Rattus norvegicus: one gene and its partner. The protein of the gene in region 2 interacts with the protein of the main gene of each other region in a pairwise test. Links are inferred from orthologs where the notes say so. Each region holds a gene or a part of one and is shown on either strand. Other genes may lie near its edges.

The links. The genes of interacting proteins can lie anywhere in the genome.
Region 1: the proteins of Hsd17b14 (region 2) and Cdkn2d interact in binary tests that used the Homo sapiens proteins (3 or more experiments, as listed by UniProt). The two-hybrid records come from large-scale screens. The link is inferred for Rattus norvegicus from reciprocal best matches to the Homo sapiens genes HSD17B14 and CDKN2D.

Annotation. Positions count from the first base shown.
Region 1 is NC_086026.1:28,104,046-28,114,583, forward strand, and holds Cdkn2d (cyclin-dependent kinase 4 inhibitor D), read right to left. Parts: upstream 6,765-10,538; 5' UTR 6,578-6,764; coding exon 6,437-6,577; intron 6,295-6,436; exon of another isoform or gene 5,097-6,294; intron 4,869-5,096; coding exon 4,509-4,868; 3' UTR 3,999-4,508; downstream 1-3,998. Other genes in the region: protein KRI1 homolog, read right to left, coding at 996-1,110, 2,136-2,241, 3,238-3,311, 3,403-3,496. UniProt on the Homo sapiens protein: Interacts strongly with CDK4 and CDK6 and inhibits them.
Region 2 is NC_086019.1:105,160,247-105,170,831, reverse strand, and holds the start of Hsd17b14 (17-beta-hydroxysteroid dehydrogenase 14), read right to left. Parts: upstream 5,138-10,585; 5' UTR 5,072-5,137; coding exon 4,984-5,071; exon of another isoform or gene 4,188-4,983; coding exon 4,149-4,187; intron 4,032-4,148; coding exon 3,949-4,031; intron 3,021-3,948; coding exon 2,954-3,020; intron 1,564-2,953; coding exon 1,472-1,563; exon of another isoform or gene 1-1,471. Other genes in the region: Plekha4 (pleckstrin homology domain-containing family A member 4), read right to left, coding at 5,733-5,995, 6,095-6,207, 6,557-6,606, 9,605-9,766, 10,400-10,476. UniProt on the Homo sapiens protein: Catalyzes the NAD(+)-dependent oxidation of L-fucose, yielding L-fucono-1,5-lactone, which rapidly converts spontaneously to L-fucone-1,4-lactone. Can also act on D-arabinose and L-galactose, with lower catalytic efficiency. Does not use NADPH.

The sequences.
Region 1 (10,538 bases), on a different chromosome or scaffold from region 2:
GGGCTGGAGAGATGGCTCATCGGTTAAGAGCACTGACTGCTCTTCCAGAGATCCTGAGTTCAAATCCCAGCAACCATATGGTGGCTCACAACCATCTCTAATGAGATCTGGTGCGTCTGCAGACAGCTACAGTGTACTTATAATAAATAAATAAATAAATAAATAAATAAATAAATAAATAAATCTTTAAAAAAAAAAAAAGAATGCAGGCAGGATCACCGAGGCTCTGCTCAGGGATTCCTTCTTTCTGGGTAGGTTTGGGCTGTTCTTCCTTTCCTTTCTTTTCCTTTCTTTCTTTTTTTTTTTTTTGAGTCAGGTTCTCACTATGTAGCCCTGGCTGTTCTGGAGACCATCCTACCTGGCTACCTTGTGCTTTTCTACCTGTAATACACGAAATTTAGGCCAGCAGCATGGCTCTGCCTAGAGAGGCATGTTCTATGCGAGCCAGAGGACCTGAGTTCAAGAACTGAGCCATGTGGAGACAGAAGACAATGGATACCAAAGCTGTCCTCTGACTTCCAAACACATGCTGTGGTGTGGCCCAGGGCCCACCAACTGTCTAACCACTCTTTCCCCATCCAACAACAACAATGAATGAAGGCTGGACGGTGGCCCAGCAGGTAAAGGCTCTTAATGCCACACAGGGAGAGCTGAGGTTTCATCACTGAATTCAAAGGTGGAAGGAGAGTCCTAGAATTTATCCTCAACTTCCACATGTGCTGTGGCCCTAAATCCCTGATAGTAAATTAAAAAAAAAGAAAAAAAAAAATAGAAAGAAAGAAAAAAAGAATGTTAAAAGGGCCAGGCATAGTGGCACACAACTTTAATCTCAGAATTCAGGAGGCAGAAGCAGATGGATTTCTGAATTCTGATCTACAGAGCGAGTTCCAGGACAGCCAGAGCTACACAGAGAAACCCTCTATAGGAAACACCCTGGAACACCCTCATGGTCCTTAGGGAACTGGAAGCTGACAGGGGGATGAGGCCCTCCTTACCCTTCTTTCTCCAAGATGACCTTCCTCTCATAGTCCTTCAGGTACATGGGCTGTACTTTCTTCTGCTTTCCCAAGGCTGCTGACTCCTCCTCACTCTCTGAAGAGGAGGCTTCTGCTGAGGGATAGTGAGAGAACACCTGCTGTTACCCACAGCTTCCCCCTTTCACCAGCAGAGCGCCTCAGAGGGCAGGGCTAGGAGCAGACATAAGTTCTGAATCCTTGCCAGCCATTTCCAATTGTAAAATAGTAAATCACCCTTATTGCCTGGTTACTTTTCCAGGGACAGAGTATGATATAGCCCAGGCTATACTAAAACTTCGTACAAAAGAAACAAAGCAACTAAACAAACAAAAGCTTTAGGTGCAGAGATAGCTAAGTTGATAGTGTCTGTCTAGCAAGCACAGGCTCCATTCAATTTCACTTATGCGGCACATAACTGAACGAAATCCCAGCAGGGGGACCACAAGTTTAGTCACATCCTTGACTACACAGTGAATTAGAGGCCAGGCTGGGTTACATGAGAAGCTACCACAAAGAATATAAAAGCATTTCTGACCTAGCACTTCAGACTCATGGATTCATAGGGAAAGCTTTTCTTTTAGTGTACGTTGATGACAGAGGTCAGCTTGTACACACAACCCCTCAAACGGCATCCATTCATTCTCCCCACACCCGACTCCCTCTCTCTGGTCTTTTCTGGCCTGGAACTCACTCTGTGGACCAGGCTAGCCTCAAGCTCAGAGACCCACCTGCCTCTGCCTCTGGAGTGTTGGGATTAAAGGTGTGCCTCACCACCCCAGAGAGCCTCCAGGGAGCTGCCTGTCTTCCCCAGCACCGGCATTGACAATGTGCGTCCATGCCTGACTCCATCATGTGATTTCTCAGAACGAAGCTCAGGCCTTCCGGCTTTGCGTGGCCACCACTTTACCAACTCACCCCTATTCCCAGCCTCACTTTTTGGTTTTTGACACAGGATCTCATTGTATAGCTCAGGCTGGCCCTGAGCCCTGAGCTATCAGCCTCCTGAGTGCTAAGATTGTGGGTTATACACTGCCACTCTGGGAAGGGAAACAATTCAACAATTCATTCAACAACTCAATTCCATCCACACTAAGGCACTTAGGGAGATGCCCACCCCACCTGTTCTCTGATAGAAGGTAGCATCTTTCTGGTAAATTCGAGGGTCTTTCTTCTTCAACAAGGACAGAGTTCTATAAAAGTCTCTCTCCTGCTGGGGATCAAATTCCTAGAGCAGGAAAAAGAGGTAGGGTCAACTTCAGAAGGAAGTTGGACACCGTGTGAGTAGGGTAGTGAGGACAGGATGCAGCAGAGACCAGCAACCCTGAGGACTGAGTGGAGGGAAGGAAAGAAGAACAGGACACCAGAGGAGGAGAGGCATACGGAGCACTGTGTCTGGGCAGGTGTGGCCAGGAAAACAGTGGAGCCCCGTGTGGGTAGTAGGTACTTCCTCGTCAAACTCCTGGGGTTTAAGGATGGAGAGATGATTCCTAGGTGACCACTAATCAGGATGGTGAGGTATCCAGTGTGGAGGATGAAGTGAAGACAGAGAGGACATGACAATCCCTAGTGATGAGGGCACCACCTGTCACTCAAGGGATAGGGGAGTGTCTTACAATTTCCTTAGGGCTCTACTGGGTTAGTGGGGATTTCTTCTACGAATGGATGGAAGTCTGGAGCCACATCTGGATAGGAGTGAGAACTTGGTGTCTCCTAGACATTGTTACCCAATGGATCAAGGTGGGGACATGGATGTTTTTATAGGTGACTAAGATAAGACGTTCTGTCCTTCTGGGGAAATAGGGAGGATTTAGTAATCCCTAGATACAAGAAAAATGGTGTTTATCACTCAAGGGATTTGGATGCAGGACATAGGGTTAGGGTCAGACTCCCACTGTATCTAAATTGGGGTGCTGTTGAAGACTGGAGGCCAAGAAAAGAAAGTAAGTAAATTTAGTGACCGTTTGGAAGGGGCTATCTGACACTTAAGGGGTCAGGAGGTAAATCCAGATCATCTCCATAGAGTAAGGCACCCCTGTGCATCAAGGTGAGAGCTCAGTGGTTGGGAGGCTTGGAATCTCTTCCAGATCCCTGAGTTGAGGAGGGTACTGCCTGTCACTCAAAGCATTGGGGGCGGGTCCTGCAGGATCGGGACAGCCCAGCCCTGTTAGGGAAGCCCCTTGCACATCTAGATAGGACGCGAAGTTTGGCTGCGGAAGCTCACCACATGCTCATCGCTGGAGTCAGACTCGGAACTGGAGTCGCTGCCGTCGTCCCGATCTCCGTAGCGATCTTTCACTGTGGAATACACATGCAGTTCCCCATAGCCGTCATCAGACGCATCCCCCCAGTTCCCACACCCCGGCCTGCGCAGGCGCCCCTCACTCACGCCGCTGTAGTTCCTCACGCTCGCGGTAACGGCTGTAGCGTGCAGCAAAAGCTGCGTTCACCTTTAGAGTCGCAGGAGCGCGCGGTTCCGGCATGGCGGCTGTGAGACCTAGTGCGCACGCGTGCAACCGCCCCCTGCAGGGTGTGACTCCCCTAGATACGCCCCCTGAGGGCTTTTAAGGAGCACGTCCATTACAGACGCACTTTGCTCCACCCTCTACTCTTCCGGGATCCCGTTGGCCTTTTGCTCAGCAAGCCACACCCACGCGGACAAGCCTCTGCGGGGAAAGGCCACAAGCCACCGCCCACCCTTCTCCACCCTGACGGCTCCCGGCACCCAGCTGACATCTGGGGGCCCCTTTCTCCACTCGCGGTTTCCTGTCTCTCTTCCGTTCCGACAGCACCCGACCGCTGCCCCACCCAACTCAGTTACCCTGACGCCCTGGGAATGACCGTGTTGCCCCATCACCCCACACCATCCCTAGTCTCATCCTACCCTCCGAATACCCCATCCCAGACTCCTAAATCTGAAGTCATCCTCGCCGTCTTAGTTTAATGAGCCAAAACATAAAATGATCACACAAAACAATTTCTTTCCATAAAGCAATAAATATATATATTTCAAACTGTACAACAAAACTGGAAACCTTCCATGAAAAAAAAAAAACAAAAAACTCATGTTATCCTTTTAACTGATTTTAAATGTTTCCCCTCCCCCTCCCATGACCAAAGTAGATGGCTCACACTTCAGGGCTCTCTGAGCACCAAGGTCACCAGCTCCCAGGAGCCCAGGAGGTGATGACCTCACTTGAGGCTAGAGCTTTAAGCCCCTGCCCTGAGGTCTTCTGTGCAGCCCCAGTGCAGAGGAAACTGAACCGTTTAGGTGGCTGGTGCCTGTAGGAGCCCCTTCTTTGTCCAACACACCAAAAAGGGGTGAGAAAAACAAATGAGAAACAACCCCCAAACACACACACTCAAGAAATCAACACCAACAAACCACAAACTGCTCCTCCCACTCCCTTCTTCAATGGACAGGAGTGAAAAGAGAAAGTTTCTTTCCTCCTTTGTTGACAAGTAACCCAGCAAGGTGGGAGACTGTGGCCCGGGTCACATTGGGATCATCATGTGCGACTGCAGAATGTCCATGAGGTTCTGAGCCCCTCTCTGCCGAGCCAACTCCAGGGGAGTGAGGCCTGAGGCGTCCTTGTGATGGAGATCAGATTCAGGAGCTAGGAAGCTGACCACAGAGCTATGGCCCTCTCGGATGGCCAGGTGGATGGGGAGAGACCCGGTGCTGTCCAGGGTGTTGACGTCAGCACCATGCTCCACCAGAACCTTCAGGGTGTCCAGGAACCCAGTGCGCGCGGCATCATGCACTGGACTGGTACCAGAGGCATCTTGGACGTTGGGGCTGGCGCCTTGCTTCAGGAGTTCCAGAGCAACTGCTGGACTTCCAAACATCATGACCTATGGGGAATGAGGGACAGAAAGTCAGGAGGTTCCCACTGGAGAAGGGTCAGGTAGAATAAAGAGGTCTACCAGAAATCCAGAGTGCCAGAGAAGGGATCCTTTAGTGAACAGGGACACTCCAGGAAAGTCAGGCCCCAAGGGATCAGACTGGGACCCCAGAGAACAGGTTCTTTGAAAATAAGGACCCCCGGGGCTGGGGATTTAGCTCAGTGGTAGAGCGCTTACCTAGGAAGCACAAGGCCCTGGGTTCGGTCCCCAGCTCCGAAAAAAAGAACCAAAAAAAAAAAAAAAAAGAAAATAAGGACCCCCATCCACCTCCAAAGCCCCACCCCCACTCCCACCAGAAACAGGGTTTCCTTCTGGCTGTCCTGGAAACTCTCTCTCTAGACCAGGTTGGCCTCAAACTCACAGAGATCCACCTGCATCTGCCTCCTGAATGCTGGGATTAAAGAAGGCCTGTGCCACCTCTGTGCAGCTCAAAGTTCTCTTAAGAACACAAAAATCGCTAACTATAAAAGTGACTCTCATGGCGGGGTTGGGGATATGGCTCAGTGGTAGAGCGCTTGCCTAGGAAGCGCAAGGTCCTGGGTTTGGTCCCCAGCCCCGGAAAAAAAAAAGTGACTCTCATGAAATCTTTAAAGGGCCAGGTGTAGTGACACATTATCATAATCCCAGAACCTTGGAGGACCAGGCAGGAGGATACAAGTTCAAAGCCAGTCTGAAATGCAGAGTGAGACTTTGTCTCAGGAAAAAAAAAAAAAGGAAAAGAAAGGAAAGAAAAATGAAGAAGCAAAGAGAATGAACGAACGGGAGAGGGAACCGGGAAAGGTCCAAAGCCTCTTTCAGGGACCCAGCACTCCCATATGGGCGATCATTAAGACTATAAGCCCCTTCCACACTACAACCCCATATTCTGGGAACTACATAGAATTTTTGAGAAGCTAGATGCTCTAGCCAATTTGAATCCCCGTTGTCGTGGAATGACTTCCTAAGTCATAGGCATGATCTTCAGAATGTGTGAGTACCCATGAAAAGGTAGGACTCCCCTATAAATGTCATCAGAATTATGGCGCCTTCAAGCAATAAGGAATCATTTTTTGTCACGAGGCACGCAGAAAATACAAAAAGGAAAAAAACAAAACCATATCATCTGCTGAAATGAAGTCTCCCCGAAATAACCAAAGACACTTCAAGAGGACAACTCCAAAAAAAAAAAAAAAAAAAACCCAAAAAATGGCTATCTCCCCTGAAGAAGACATGCATGCCACCTTCCAGAGATCGAATGTCTTAGAAACCTCGAGAAATATGAGCTGTCCTCAAGGACGCGCACGAAAAGAAGCTGAACCCCAACTCACCCACGGAATAAAGGTCTGCAGAGAAACGGAATCTTCCAGGCTATTAGACAAGGAATTCTTTAGAGCTGAAACGCCATCCCCTCCCCCATCCCGCCCTCACCACCCACCCAACATTGGTTCAAGCAAGGATTAGACCTTAGGGGATCACCAACCCGGGCCAGGAGACTTGGAGGGATGGGGTGTGGAAGCCGGGTGCCAGCCAGGCCTCACCTGCAAGGCCGTCTTGCCAAAGCGGTTCAGGGCGTCAGGATGCACCAGCTCCCGGTGCAGAAGGCGGCGCACCTCTTGCACGTCGCCACGGGCCGCTGCGCCACTCAACCGGTCGCCGACGCTGACTTCTTCCAGAAGCATAGTGGCTACCGGTGGTCTGTGAAACCCACCCAGCCCCAAGCCCAGTTCAGGTCAGGGCTGGGGACCAGCAAGGGCTGGATCAGATTTCGGTTCTCAGGGGTTGCGGTGCCACCAAGGCCAACTCTATGGTTATTCCCCGGCCGCAGACCCGGCGCCTTCTGCCTGTACGACCCTCGCTCTGGCAGGCAACTCCTCCCCCTGTCACCCAGAGAGGCTTCAGGGAACCCCGCCCAGCCCTTCGGCGCCCGCCCCTTGGGCCGGGTCTCCCCAGACTCACCCTCCCTCTCCTTGCGCGGGCGGGGTCGGCTCTGAGCCGGCGCTACACACAGCCTGCTAGAGTCAGCCGCTAGTGGGCGAGGCAAGCCCGCCCCAGGCCCCGCCCAGAGCGCCCTTGTTTTCTTACAAACTCGCAACAGAGTAGCGCGAGCCGCTTTGCCCAGCGCCCGACCTCCAGAAGTTCCGCCTACTGGGAATATCAGCCAATCAGCATGCGTTGCCGGGGAGGTTTGCCTCACCCGTAGGGGTGGTGCGGCTCCTGATTGGTCAGCGAGCGGCAACCGGTGGAGCTGCCCGCCACAGCTGGGTTTTTGGTTTTTCAAAACCAACAGGCGGGCAGGCGGGAAAGAGAGGGAGGTTTAACTGACTCCAGCAGAGAGTTTGGAGACAGGCTGGCGCAGGCGGATCCTGGATCTTTAGCGCCTCCGGGAGGGAGGGAGGGAGGGAGGCAAGACTGGAAACTCCTACTACTGGAACATTCTATTCATTCATGTACCACGGAAGTCCTAAAAAGCACTTACTGTGCGACCGGGAGCTTAGTTCATTCATTCGACTGCTGTGTTGAAGGAATGGCTTCTGGGCGGTAAAGTGCGCGCCTTCTAACATTTTTGTTTGTTTATTTTATGTTTCTGTGACAGGTTCTGTCTGTGTAGCCTTGATTGGAGCTCACCGTGTAGCTCTGTCTGGACTATTCACCTGTGTCTGCTATTCGTGATGGAATTAAAGGAATGGGCTACCAAGCTGGTCTCTTCTATTATTTTATTTTAATTTTTTGAGAAAGAATCTTACAGACTGAAAGACGGATCAGTGGCTTCTCTTGTAGAGGATCAAGGATTCAGTTTCAGCACCCATACCACGTGACAGCTTAGCCATCATTAACTCCAGCTCTAGGGATCCAACAACCTCTTCTGACCTATACCAACATGGTGCATATATAGACAAACACCCACATATTCTAATAATTCTCTTTTAAATTTTTTCTCTACGTTTTTTAAAGATTTATTTATTATATATACTCATATATATATAAAAGACACTATCTGTGTCTTCAGACACACCAGAAAGGGGCATCAGATCCCATTACAGATGGTTGTGAGCCACCATGTGGTTGTAGGGAATTGAACGCAGGATCTCTGGAAGAGTAGTCACTGCTATTAACCTCTGAGCCATTTCTCGAGCCCTCTAAGTTTTTTCAAGATAGGGTCTTACTATGTAGCTCTGACTGTCCTGGAACTCACTATGTTGGCCAGGCTGTTCATCTGCCTGCCTTTGCCTCCCAAAGCCATGGGATCAAAGGTGTGTACCATTAAATCTGGCAGTTTTCTTTTTTCCTTTTTATCTTGTATGTGCATTGGTATTTTGCCTGCATGCATGTTTGTGTCAGGGTGTCATATCTAAAACCAGTACCTCAGATAGTTGTGAGCTGCCATGTTAGTGCTGGGAATTAAACCCAGGTCCTTTGGAAGAGCAAGCAGCCAGTGCTCTTAACTGTTGAACCACATCATCTTTCCAGCCTGGTAATTTTCTTTTAAAGTCTTTTTTTTTTTTTAAAGGGTTTCATGTAGCCCAGGCTGGCCTCCAAATCTGCATGTAGCCAAGCATGACACCTGAGCCTCTTGAATGCCACTTCCAAGTGCTACTATAGCCACAGTCCACGTAGCGCTGGACATGGAACCCAGGGCATCATGGACTTGATGAAATCACTCTCCTAACTGATCTATAACTTTTTTTTATTGAGACAAGGTCTTTTATGGCCTAGGCTGGTATCGAATTCACTAAATCCAGACTAATCTCAAACTCCCGATCATGCTGCCTTTATCTCTTGAGTGCTGGGATTACAGGTCTGTGCCATCAGGTCCACCTTTCTTGGACAGTAAATACCACACACAAAAATAGACTAAAGGGGTTGGGGATTTAGCTCAGTGGTAGAGCGCTTGTCTAGGAAGCGCAAGGCCCTGGGTTCGGTCCCCAGCTCCGAAAAAAAGAACCAAAAAATAAATAAATAAATAAATAAATAAATAAATAAGCTAAAGCTCCCTGGAGTGGGGAGGAGGGGGTTGGTGCATGCTTTAACCCCAGAAGTAAGGAGGCAGAGGCAGACAAATCTTTGAGTTGAATGCAAGCCTGATCTACAGAGTGAGTTCCAGCATGGTCAGGGCTACACAGAGACTTTCTGACTAGAAAACAAAAATGATCCCTTCCTCCAAAAATAGACTAAACCTAGTAATTTTAGTCGCTGAGAAAAGAATCATGGTCTTTCTCAGGTTAAGCAGTTCTTGTTGAACAGAGTTGGCCTGACCAGGTGTGTCATGTGGTTCTGGGAGGTGAGTTTCACTGAGAAGGTCCTGAAATGGCCTTGTTCTTTCAGCCCACACATGCAGCTCCCGAGATGGCTATACACTGAACCCATCAGACACCCACAGTCAGACCAGAAGATGTCAGTGAATTTTTTTCAGAGTAGTTAATGATGTGGAGGTGACAAAGAGGGCCATTAAACCCTGTAATCTTGACACTCAGGAGTCTGAGGCAGGAGAATGAAGTTGTAGGCCAGCCTGGGCTAAATGGCCAGTTTTCAAAACTCTCAAATATAATCCCAAGTGTGGTGGTAGACATCTTTAATCCCAGCATTCAGAGGCAGAGGCAGGTGGAGTTCAAGGCCAGTCTGGTCTACATTGTAAGTTCCAGGACAATCAGGACTACACAGTAAGGATCTGTGTCTTTAAAAAAAAAAAAAAAAAAAAGGGGGCTGGGGATTTAGCTCAGTGGTAGAGCGCTTACCTAGGAAGCACAAGGCCCTGGGTTCGGTCCCCAGCTCCGGAAAAAAAAGAACCAAAAAAAAAAAAAAAAAAAAAAAAAAGTAAAAAGGGGTTGGGGATTTAGCTCAGTGGTAGAGCGCTTGCCTAACAAGCGCAAGGCCCTGGGTTCGGTCCCCAGCTCCGAAAAGAAAAAAAAAAAAAAAAGAGAGAAAAAAAAGTAAAACTAAAACATGACAGAAGACAAGCCTTATTCATTAAAAGACATATTGCTCTTCCATAGGACTCAAGCTTGGATCCTAGCACCCACACCAGGCAGCATACAGCTGCCTGTGACTGCAGTTCCAGGAGAATCTGAAGCCTCTGGCCTCTGCGGACGCCAACACAGACCTCTGCACACCCACATATAGGTATACACACACACACACACACACACACACACACACACACACACACAGAGGAAAATATTTAAAATATTTTCCTGAAGCCAGACAAAGTTGGAGATGTTGTGCATGTCAGTAATCCCAGCTCTTAGAAGCAGAGGCTTCATTGCTACTGGTGAAGCCTGAAACCAGCCTGGGTTACAAGAGACCTTGTCTCACAACTAAAAGCAAAACTGGAGAACACAGCTGGTCATGGGCCTCATGCCTGCCACCCACCTACGTGTGGAAGGCAGAGGCCAGAGGAAGGCTGAAAGTTAAAGGACAGCCAAGCCCTATCTTAAGAAATAAAAATCAGAACGAAAGAAAGACACTATAAAATAGGCAGTTGCTGCATGTACAAAGGGCCTGAGGCTCGAAAGTATTGAGTGCAGTACAGAACGGGAGCCTGGGAGGGCAGGAAGGTAGGCAGGGGTAGTGCAGTGGAGTAGACAGACCTGGAACTGCATAAATTTTTATGGCCACCAGGATTAAGCAGGGCAATGATGGACT
Region 2 (10,585 bases):
AGCCCATCGACTCTCGTAGGCTGACTGTCGAGTCAGCTACTGGAACCCACCAGTCCCTGCTTTTCCAGCGCTGGCTGAGATTACAAGCACAGACGCTGGGGTTCCAAACTCAAGCTCACACAGCCAGCACTTCGACCAACTGAATGAGCTTCCAGCCCTTCAGGTAGGGGACACTCGGGCCATTCCAACCAGCAGATTCTCTCTTGATTCCCACTTATGAGCATCTACTTCACTGTCTTCCTGAGGTAGAAAACAGGCACATGAAAGATCTCTGTGTCCCCACCCTCACCCCCAGGGCATTCACTGTACCAATCTGCTGAGGAGAACCCCCTCCTTCACTGCCTCAGCATCCTTTTCTAAGGACCTTGTACATGCTAGGGACACAGCCAGAGTGGTCAGCAATCGCATTCCTAGACAAGCCCAAGTGCTGGGATTTAAGGAGTGAGCCCCCCCCATCCAAACTCCATGGTTCCTATTGCTGACAGAAACAAGTCAGAGGGAAAGATGTCTATTTTCATGGGGCTGAACTTCTAGGGAGAGGCTGGTCAGTGAGTGCAGCATGGAACATTCTAGAATATGATTAGGAAGCTCCCATCACTTTCTTGCTCAACCATCTTCCTCAGCTCTCTATTGTTCCTTTAGACACTGTAATACCATCTCCACCCAATCCACACATGCACACCTATTGGCAGCAGCAACTATTCTGTCTGTCTCATAAGCCATGACCGTCACACCGGCTTCCTTTCCTTTCTCTCTGTGTAGCCAAGGTTGACCTTGAGCTCCTGATCTCCCTCCACTTCCTGAGTGCCGGGATCACAGGTTGCACCATCATGCTTACTTAGTGCTGGAACTCCAGCTGCATCCTGCTGAGCCCTAGCCACGACTTCCGGTTCTTTCTTCCTTTTTCTTTTTTTTTTTTTTTTAAGGCAGGGTTTCTCTGCGTGACCCTGGTTGTCCCGAAACTCTCTCTGTAGACCAAGCTAGCCTGGGACTCAGAGATCTGCCTGCCTCCTGAGTGCTGGGGTTAAAGGCCTGTGCCACCACAGCCTAGTTCACTTTGGATTCTCTTAGCATCCTCTTTGCTACCTCCAAGCAGGCTGGAAAGCTCTGGAAGATTGCGAGGAGGGTGTAACTTCCCAGGTGGATGAAGACTGGCAGTGTCCTTCTAGATCCTGATTCTCCACCTTCCTGATGCTGCCACCCTCCTGTCGTGGTGGTGACCCCCACCCCCAACCATAAACTTATCTCTGTCGCTACTTCACAACTGCAGGTATGGATCTCAGCGTAGATAACCATGCTTTCCGGTTGTCTTAGGCAAGCCCTGTGAAGGGATCTTCAATTCCCAAAGGGAAATTGAACCTCGGATTGAGAACCGCTATACTGTAATAAGGACAGGAAGCCAAGGGGCACAAAGCGATGTGCTCCGGATGAACTGAAGGGCACACAGCAACTGCAGCTCTGCCTGTCTCACCTTGATCAAGGTGTATGCCCCCAGGAGGTTCTCCTCCAGCAGCTGGCGGAAGCCCTGGGCAGAGGTCTCCTCTGGCAACTGTGCAGGTGGGTCTAAAGAGAAGAAGAGGATGAGGCCGGGGCAGGAAGGTGGGAGGGAGGAAGGGAGGGAGGGCAGGGACGATGGGGTCGGAGAGGAGGCCAAGGGTGAGGGAGAAAGCTAAGGATGGCGGCCACACAGTGCTGAGTGCAGCTGAATGCTGACTGCAGAACGGGGTAAGCTAGCCAGTGCCTGTCATTCTAGGGCTCATGGGGGATTGTGGGTAAGTGCTCTGCAGCCAGACCTCAGCTGGTCTCTGTTCTCCTCACTGTGGAATGCGAATTTCCCTGCTTAGATACCACTCCCCACAAGGGAATTTGGTAGGTGTTGTCAACATCAGCCTAAGGAAAGAAGGACCCAGGTAAGGATGAGCGACCAGCAACCCTGAGTCCTTACTGTGATGTGAAGTAAAGCAGCTAAGACTGGGAGCCCAGCTGGCCGGGGACAGTCCTCTGACCCCAACTTTGGAAGATATTCAAGAGGGCCCCGGTGGGTGTTCCCTGAGCCCTTGTTGCCATGGGGACACATTGTTCTCTGGTGCAGCTGTTGGGCTGATGAAAATTTCCCAGAGTGCCACACTACCTAGTGTCTGATAAAGCGTGTCTGGGTTGTCCTTGTCACCAACAAGGCCCAGGGCCACCAGCCATCAGCAAGGCAGGAGCTCCCCCAGGCTCTGGGACTATCGTGAAGGACAGTATAACCTCCTGTGACAAGCACACAGCAAAGAAAGTGAGACTGAGGCCGGGCTGAGCTCTGTGTTAAGGAAGGCTGCAGAGAGATGGTTCAGTGGTTTAGAGCATGGCTGCTGGTCCAGAGAACTAGGTTCAACTCCCAGCACCCACATGGTGGCTCAGAACTGCCTGTAACTCCAGTTGCAGGGGATCCAACTCCTTCTGGTCTCTGTGGGCACCAGTCATGCAAGGGGAGAACAGACATACATGCAAGTGTAAACACACACACACACACACACACACACACATGTGCGCGCACGCGGGAGGCAGAGGGCTATGTGTCCTGAGGAAGGGGTAAACTGAGGTTCAGAGGAAGGATTGGGCTGTTGAAATGGCTCAACTGTACCTTTACACTTGTGCCAAGCCTGATAACCTGAACTCAATCCCACATGGCCGAAGGAGAGAACTGATTCCCTCTTGTTGCACTGAACACCAGAGAAGTACTTACTGTGCATGAGAGTGCGAGTGCTTGTGCAAGCACACGCTTACACACATGCACATCGATAGACAGATAGATAATAGATAGACAGATAGATAAATAATAGATAGATAATAGATAGATAGATAGATAGATAGATAGATAGATAGATAGGGCAATAATTTTTAAGAGAGGAATGGGGAAGAGGGTATAAGTAGATGTCAGGGACACTGGCCTCCAAACCACACAACTTACGGTAGCCGGCATTATTCACCACACAATCCAGGTGACCAAATCGAGAGACAGTCTCAGAAATCAGAGTCTGAGGAGAGAAGAAAGAGCAGGTGATGAGCTGAGAGGTGACAGCCTTGGAAAAGCCAGGAGGCCCAAGGCAAGGATGGGCTCAGCTAAGGAAGACAGGGTAGGGTGAGGTGGAAGGGGACCAGGGCCACAGAATAGGTCTAGAAAGAGAGGAGGATGCAGGAAGTCGAGGACCCAGACTAAAAGGACTGATCCACACAGCACAGTTGCCACTTGTCACAGCGTTCCTATTGCTGTGATAAGCACCATGACCAAAAGCAACCTGGAGAGGAGATGATTAATGTCTGCCTACAGCTCCCAGGTCATATCTATCACTGAGGGAAGCCAGGACAGGGACTCAGAGCAGAAGCTCAAGGCTGGGACTGAAGCAGAGGCTGTGGACGAACACTGTTCGCTGGCTTGTTCCCATGCCTCGTCCAGCCCCTTTTCTTAGACTATCCAGGACCACCTGCCCTGCAATGTCACAACCCCCAGGGAGCTGGGGAAACTCCCACATCAACCACTAATTAATTAAGTGACCAACAGGCTTGCCCACATGCCAATTTGGTGGGGCCATTTTCTAGTGAGATTCCCTCTTCCCAATGACTCTAGCTTGTGTCCAGTCGATTTAACACTAACCAGCACACCATTTTAGAAGACTTCGGAGGGGTGTGTGTGCAGAAGACAGAGCCTCAGAAGGAGAGTCTACAGACCCGAGTGCAGTGGGGAGCAGAGAGACAAAGAAAGACAGAGGCCCAGATAGGAGCTAGACCTGGAAACACATAAGAGATTCTGAGTGCCAGGAAGTCAGAAACTTGTTACAGGAGCCAAGAGTTCAAGTCCTGATCATTCCTAAAGACCTGAGAGAGAAGAGGGCAGAAGGACGGAGGTGACAAGGGCATGGATACCCAGAGGGACTGGCGATGGAGTGTGGGACAGAAAACACTGACCTGTAAATCTCCTTCCTGAGTCACGTCACCGGGGATGAAGACAGTGCCCAAGAGTTCCTGCTCCACAGCCCGGCCCCCAGCCTCTGCAAGAGAAAGATTCTGGGTCCGAGGGAGGAGGCTTAGGAATGTGGGTCTGAGGGAGGAGAGCTATGCAGAGATCATTGATGAGGCAAGGGAGAGATGAACACTGATTCACTCACCATCCTTGTCACAGAAAACCACTTGAGCCCCACTGTCCACTGCCAACAGAAAGAGAACGATGTTACCTGCCCTGCAGACTTGCGTCACTGCCTCTGCTGCCCTCTTGTGGCCACCAGAGCACCTGCCTCTCTGGCGGCTCTCGTGATTGTCTCTCTCACAAGATTGTCTCCACTCACAAGAGCAACAAATTACCCTTCCTCATTAAGCCACTGCTTGGCCCCCATCCTGGATTCTAGAAAAATCCAAAACCTACAAACAATAAAACACACAAAGCTATCATTTGCAGCTAGGGACCCATCTGGGGAAGAACTTTTTTTTTTTTTTTTTTTTTTTTTTGGATTTTTGAGATAGAGTTGCTCTGTGTAGCCCTGGCTGTCCTGGAACTCACTCTCCTGGCTGGCCTCAAACTCAGAGATCCACCTGCCTCTGCCTCCCAAGTGCTGGGATTGTAGGCATATACCACCACTGCCAGGCCAGTGGAAGAACTTTTAATGACCGACCTATCAACAAAGACCCAACAATCCAAATGGATTCATGTAAGAATGAAACGGAGGGACCAGAGAAATGGCTCAGCGGTTAAGAGCACTGGCTGCTTTTCCAAAGGACACAGGTTCAGTTCCCACCGTCCACATGGCAGCTCACAACTGTTTATAACTCCGGTTAGGAGGGATCTGACAACCTCACCCAGGTACAACGACAACGCACAGAGAAAATTAAAAACAAACAAATCATTAAAGAAATGAACCTGAGTCTCCTCCTCCCACTGTGGGAGCCTCTGCCAGCCGCTCTTTCTCTCCTACAATTCAGGCAGCAGGCGGGAAGACCCTTACTCACCGAAGGCTCTCACGATCGCAGCCCCGATGCCCCGACTGCCCCCAGTCACCACCACCACCTTCCCAGAATATCGGCCTACTGCAGCCATTCCCAGCTATCTCGCTCGTGTCCCACACCCTCTGGGCCTCTTCCCACCTTTAAAGTCCAGAGAAGCGGGGGAGTGGAACCAGATATACAGGCTGGGTCACTGAAGGCTGACCCTGGCAGGGGGAGTTCCCAGGAAGGCACACCTAGGAGAACTGAGGACTCTCCTTCCTAGCCCTCTTTCTCAGACCCAGGGTCCCCACCCGTGATGATCCTCCTTCAGACCCAGGGATCCCCATCCTGACACTCCTCTTCCAGGCTCAGGGACCCCCACCCCAGCTCTGCCCCCTCAGACTGACTCTAGCCCTGCTCCCTTTGACTTGTAAGACCAGCACCACTTCTGCCTTGACTCAGGATCCAGACTCCAACCTCCTCCCTCAGACCCATATTTTAAGATGTAGCCCCCCAATGTCCTGTGAATCCAAGGCCCTGACGCTTGTTTGTCAGAACACAATGTCACAACCACAGAGAGAATAAAGCTATTTATTGACTAGTTCAAAGTTTTAATCCAAGTTCGGACAGTGTTGGGATAATCAATCTTTGACCATCATAGCCCCGGCCCTCCTAGAACACAGGCTGAAATGAACCTCTCCCCTGTGGTCCTGAATGGTCCCACACCTCAAGGTTGTGCTTCCAGCCTTTAGCACCCAGTGCAAAGGCAGGAGTCAAAAGCTGGACTGCAGCAGAGTGACTCTCAGGGGCCATGCCCCCTCTTCCTGGGCCAGAGCTGGAGGGGCCTTCCCAGGGTCCCACCTGGGCTCCCACGGAGCCAGGCCTCTCCCACTCCCTTGGCATGAGAACCCTGTGGTAGCCGAGTTAGCCTTGTGAGAAGTTGGGGACGAGGTGACCTGGGGCAGCTCTTCACTGGGAGGCTGTGGACTTGGCTGGAGACAGTCTCCCCTGGTGTCCAAATTTCTCTCTGGAGAGGCTAAACGGAGAATGAGAAAAGTGTTAACTTAAACGTGTAAAGTCCAAACTTCCAGGCCTCCTTCCTCAGATGCGGGGGTTCAGAGCCTGGGCACCTCACCTGTCATCAGCCTGTGCCACTGGGAAGCCTCTGTAGCAAGAGCTTGGGAGAGGCTGAGCACTCGTTCCCGGTGGCCTCCAGACACGGGTGAGTAGGTTGTGGAGTGCCTAGGACTACAGAAAATAAGCCACGTGTCAAACAGGCCACCGAGGCTCCCGGGGAGTTCTTCCTAGCTTTTATCTAGAGGACGTTAAGCACAGGCTTTGTTACCAGTAGACCAGCAGGGAGGTCACCATTACTGGATGAACAGCTGGATCTGATTCAGGCCACAAGAGCTCTGCAGTCTCTGACCCACCACCAGGGGCTTCCTGGCTTTTTTGTAGTTACCTCGGGAACTCAAGGGACTCAGAAGTTCTGGGGACTTGTTTGGTACACAGGAAACTATAATAACACCACTGCTCCCCTGTCTGCATCAAGAATTGACCCCCCCACCCCATTGCAGCTCCCACTCTAGATCCATACCTACTCCATGACCCGGAACTCCTGAGCCATTTCGCAGCTCCTACAATAGGCTGGAAAGGAATTATTGGTTACAATTCTTGTCATGGAGAATGGTCACAAGTTCAAGGGCAGCCTTGATGGAAAGAACAGAGGAGAGCGGGGTAGGGAAAGGAAGGGAGAGGGCAAGAAAAGAAAGAAAGGGGCTATGGGTGGGGAGGATAGATTTTGCCATTGAAGCCCGTTTTCTCTCCATCCCTTTCTCCTTGGCCCCCTTCTCCCCACCAACCTACATGCAGATACTAGGAAGTTCAGAGGACAACAGGAAGTGCCCCCCACCAATCCTCTGCTCTCAGCAAGTCGGCCAGACTAGCTGACCCCTGAGCTTCCAGGGATTCACTATCTCCATTCTCTGACTCAGTGCCTTGGGGATCACAGACATTCACTGACAGCCGAGTCTTTATACATGGGTTCTGAAACCCCCAAGCCTATCCCTGAGCACCTCCTGGGTCCCCCCACTGCTCCCAGCCAGGTTCTTATGACATTCAGATTGCCTTCTGACTCGTTATATGGGTGCAGATGGCCTCCGTCTCCTCAGTATCAGGAGCTGGGCAGCAGCTCCACTGGCCTCCTACTTATGTTTATGGTGATGTTAGGGGGACTGGGAGTGAAGTAGCCTTGGAGAACATCAGGCTCGCAAAGTCAAGTCCACGTCTACAGCTTGTTGTCTACTTCCCTACAAAGGCTTCTCTGACTTGGATATAAATATCTCCCAAAGGTTTATGTGTCACAAGGTTTGGTCGCCAGCCCTTGATGCTGCCGAGATGTGACTGGACTGTGACGGTGTTTGTCTGACCAATGAATTAACCAACAGGTGAGTGACAGGACACTGGCCTGGACTATTAGGCCTGACTCCCAGGTCTGAGTCAGGCTACGTCTCCCTGAAGTTCATGATTCAGTAGTCAGTGCAGTGTCTTGACAGCTTACAACGCATGGTACCTGGCTTCCCCATCCTCCTTGTCACATGGGCTACACGGATCTAAATCACTCTGCCCAATCTGAAATTTTCCATCTGAAATTTTCCATAGGCTCTCCACAGCCATAACATGTCAGACCTTTGCTTTGTTGGGGAAAAAAAAAAAAAAGAGTCTGAGATTCCTCAATGGGACCCACTCTGAGAGGTGCTCTGAGGCTGCTCTCGGAAGGGCTCCTCTGGCCAGCCTCCCGTCATTCCTCTCAGGGTGCCTCTCTCCCTCCCTTTCTCTCTCTCTTAATGAAGTCTTGCCTTCCCTCTAAGGCCCCACCATGGTTAGGTCCACACATGGCCTCGAGGCTCTTTCCCTATCAACTTCATTGATGAGGTTATTAATAGACGTTTTCTCTCCCTCAGTCATGTGGATACAGGCCAGATTAGACCAGATTAAAAGCAGGCAAAGTGAGTTCAAATCCCAGAAACCACATGGTGGCTCACAACCATCTGTAATGGGACCCGATGCCCTCTTCCGGTGTGTCTGAAGGCAGCTACAGTGTACTCATAACAAATAAATAAATAAATAAATAAATAAATAAATAAATAAATAAATAAATCTTTAAAAAAAAAAAGTAGGCAAAGGCAGGTTTATGAGGAGGCAGCTCTGGGGATGGGTTCAGCGACCTCACGGTGAAGGTCAGTGACATCACACATCCAGGTTAAAGCAATGGGAGTTTTATAGAGCTTAGGCAAGGAGTGAGACGTGCCAGCTTGGAGCTGGGATTGTGCCCATACATGGTCAAAAACTGAGCCCCTGGGCGGGCGCTCGTGGGTGTGTGGCCAGAAACGTGGCAAGGAGAAGTGAGGATATGTTAGCCCGGAGTTTTCTCTGCATGGGTGGGGTTGGGGGAGAGGAGGGCAATTCGGGTTTCCCAACTTGTGCAGGGGAACAATTGTCCAGCCTAACAATTAATGTCAGCTTCCTCCAGGACCAGGCAGCCCTCTCTCTGATGTCATTACAACAAGAGTTCACAGGTCACTGTGCCGTTAGGAAGCAGGGCCTAGCTGGAGAAGAGGGTGTGGTCAGGAAAGGTTTTATATACATATTCAGTCTGTCTGTCTCCCCCCCCCTCCCCCCTAGATCTCAGGCTTTCGTTTGGCAAAGCAGGTTCGACGGGGAGCTTGGAAGAGAGAGCTTCAGGGAGGCACGGCCTCTTTCAAGTACAACTAAGAAAGCCTAAGTTCCAACGGGAAACAGGGAGATGCCTGTTCCCTCCTGGTTGGTGGCCGAACGGAAACATTCCTGGAAGAGAGGGGAGAAGCCTGAGACTGAGGCGAAACACAGACTTCCCCCACTGAACACTGCGGAAGCAGCAAACACAGCTGCAAGAATGGACTGACAGGCCAAGCTACAGAGGGCTCTCTCCGAACCACTGAGCTGCAGTTCTGCAGACAGCTACACCACCGCAGCCTCCATGAGCTGCCACTCATCCCAGGAAGGGCTTCTTGGTGGTGCAGCTACTTTTAGGTCATCCCTGGAAGTAACCTCTCACACAGAGCCCTGTTAGTGACTCCCCAAAAACCTCACTGGTTCGCCAAGGTGGACTTGGGCGCAATCATTTTTGTAGTCCGTAGTGTGCTGTATCTCCTCAGGAAAAGTTTCTCACACAATACCTCCTTGCCTAATTCTGTCCCGTAACTGCAGGAGGAACAGGGCCAGCGGACATAAGTTTGCAACAAGGAAGTGGGACACAATTCCATTTCAGAAAGGAGGGCAGGGATTGGGGCTGAGGCTGAAGAATAGAGAGCTTGCCAGGCATGCGCAAAGCTCTAGGTCCCACCCACCAGCACTGTTTAAACCAGGTGAGAGACAAGCTTGTAATCACGACACAGTCCTTCTGGAAGATCCGGAGTCCAAGCCCAGCCTTGACTCTGTAGCTAGGTCAGGGCTAGCCTGGGATACATGAAACCTGGCCTCAAAAAGAAAGAGAGAGAGAGAGAGAGAGAGAGAGAGAGAGAGAGAGAGAGAGAGAGAGCGAGCGCAAGCAGGCAGAACATCCCCTCCCATCGTGCTCCCCAACCCAAGACCCCACTCTCCTCACCCTCTGCTCCATGTCAGGCTGGCGTGGAACTGGGGATAGTGTCCTTCCCAGGGTCAGGAGCCTTGGGGAGGTAGGGCGAGGAAGAGAGAGCCCACATGCTTGGTTTCTACGCATGCGCTCCAGCTGCTCCTGAGCGCTCATCCTAGGCCGCGCCAGCGGGGCCTGCGAAGAGACAGACCAAAAGTCTAATCCAACAGCCTGGCACTTTACAGAGCATTTGTCACAGAGGGGACCTCTGTACACCAGGGGTCTGCTGCATCCCCTCCCTGGCCCTGAGGACAAAGACTTCCAAACTGTTAATGGCCTGATTTCTACTCCAGTCTCTGGTTTCCTTCCATCATCGCGCTTTATGGAGAAGGAAGTATCAACAATTCCTGGGCATGCCGGCTTCTCCCAAAAATTTGACATTTAGTGAAAAACACTAGCTCTTTTATCTGGATAAGTGCTGCAGAATGACCCCAATGCCTCCTGTGCCCGGCAGTGACGTCACTGACGAGCCACGCACCCACCCCCTCACTGGGAGAGTCTATGCAGGACTGAGCCATGCCCCTGACTATTTTATTTTAAATCTCATGCCACTGTGGTAAGAAGCCTATTAGTGTGTTACACAGATGAGAAACACGGAGGCTCAGAGGAGCTCAGTAACTACCCGAAATCGCGCAACTTCAAATACTTGAGATAAAATCCTGTCTGCTCTGGTGTAGCCTTTGAATTGGTCTCTCCTAGTGTAGGGAGGCCGGAGGTGATCAGAGCACGGTTACAAGGCAGCCTTAAGGTGTCTCAGAAATGGTCTACCTTAGTTCTCAGCAGCGGAGATGACTGTTGGCGACATTCAGGGCTGGATGCCCGGGAGACTCTTGGAGACCCGACACCTTGAAGGACAGATGGGGACTTAGTCAGAACAAGAACACACACACACACACACACACACACACAGAGAGAGAGAGAGAGAGAGAGAGAGAGAGAGAGAGAGAGAGAGAG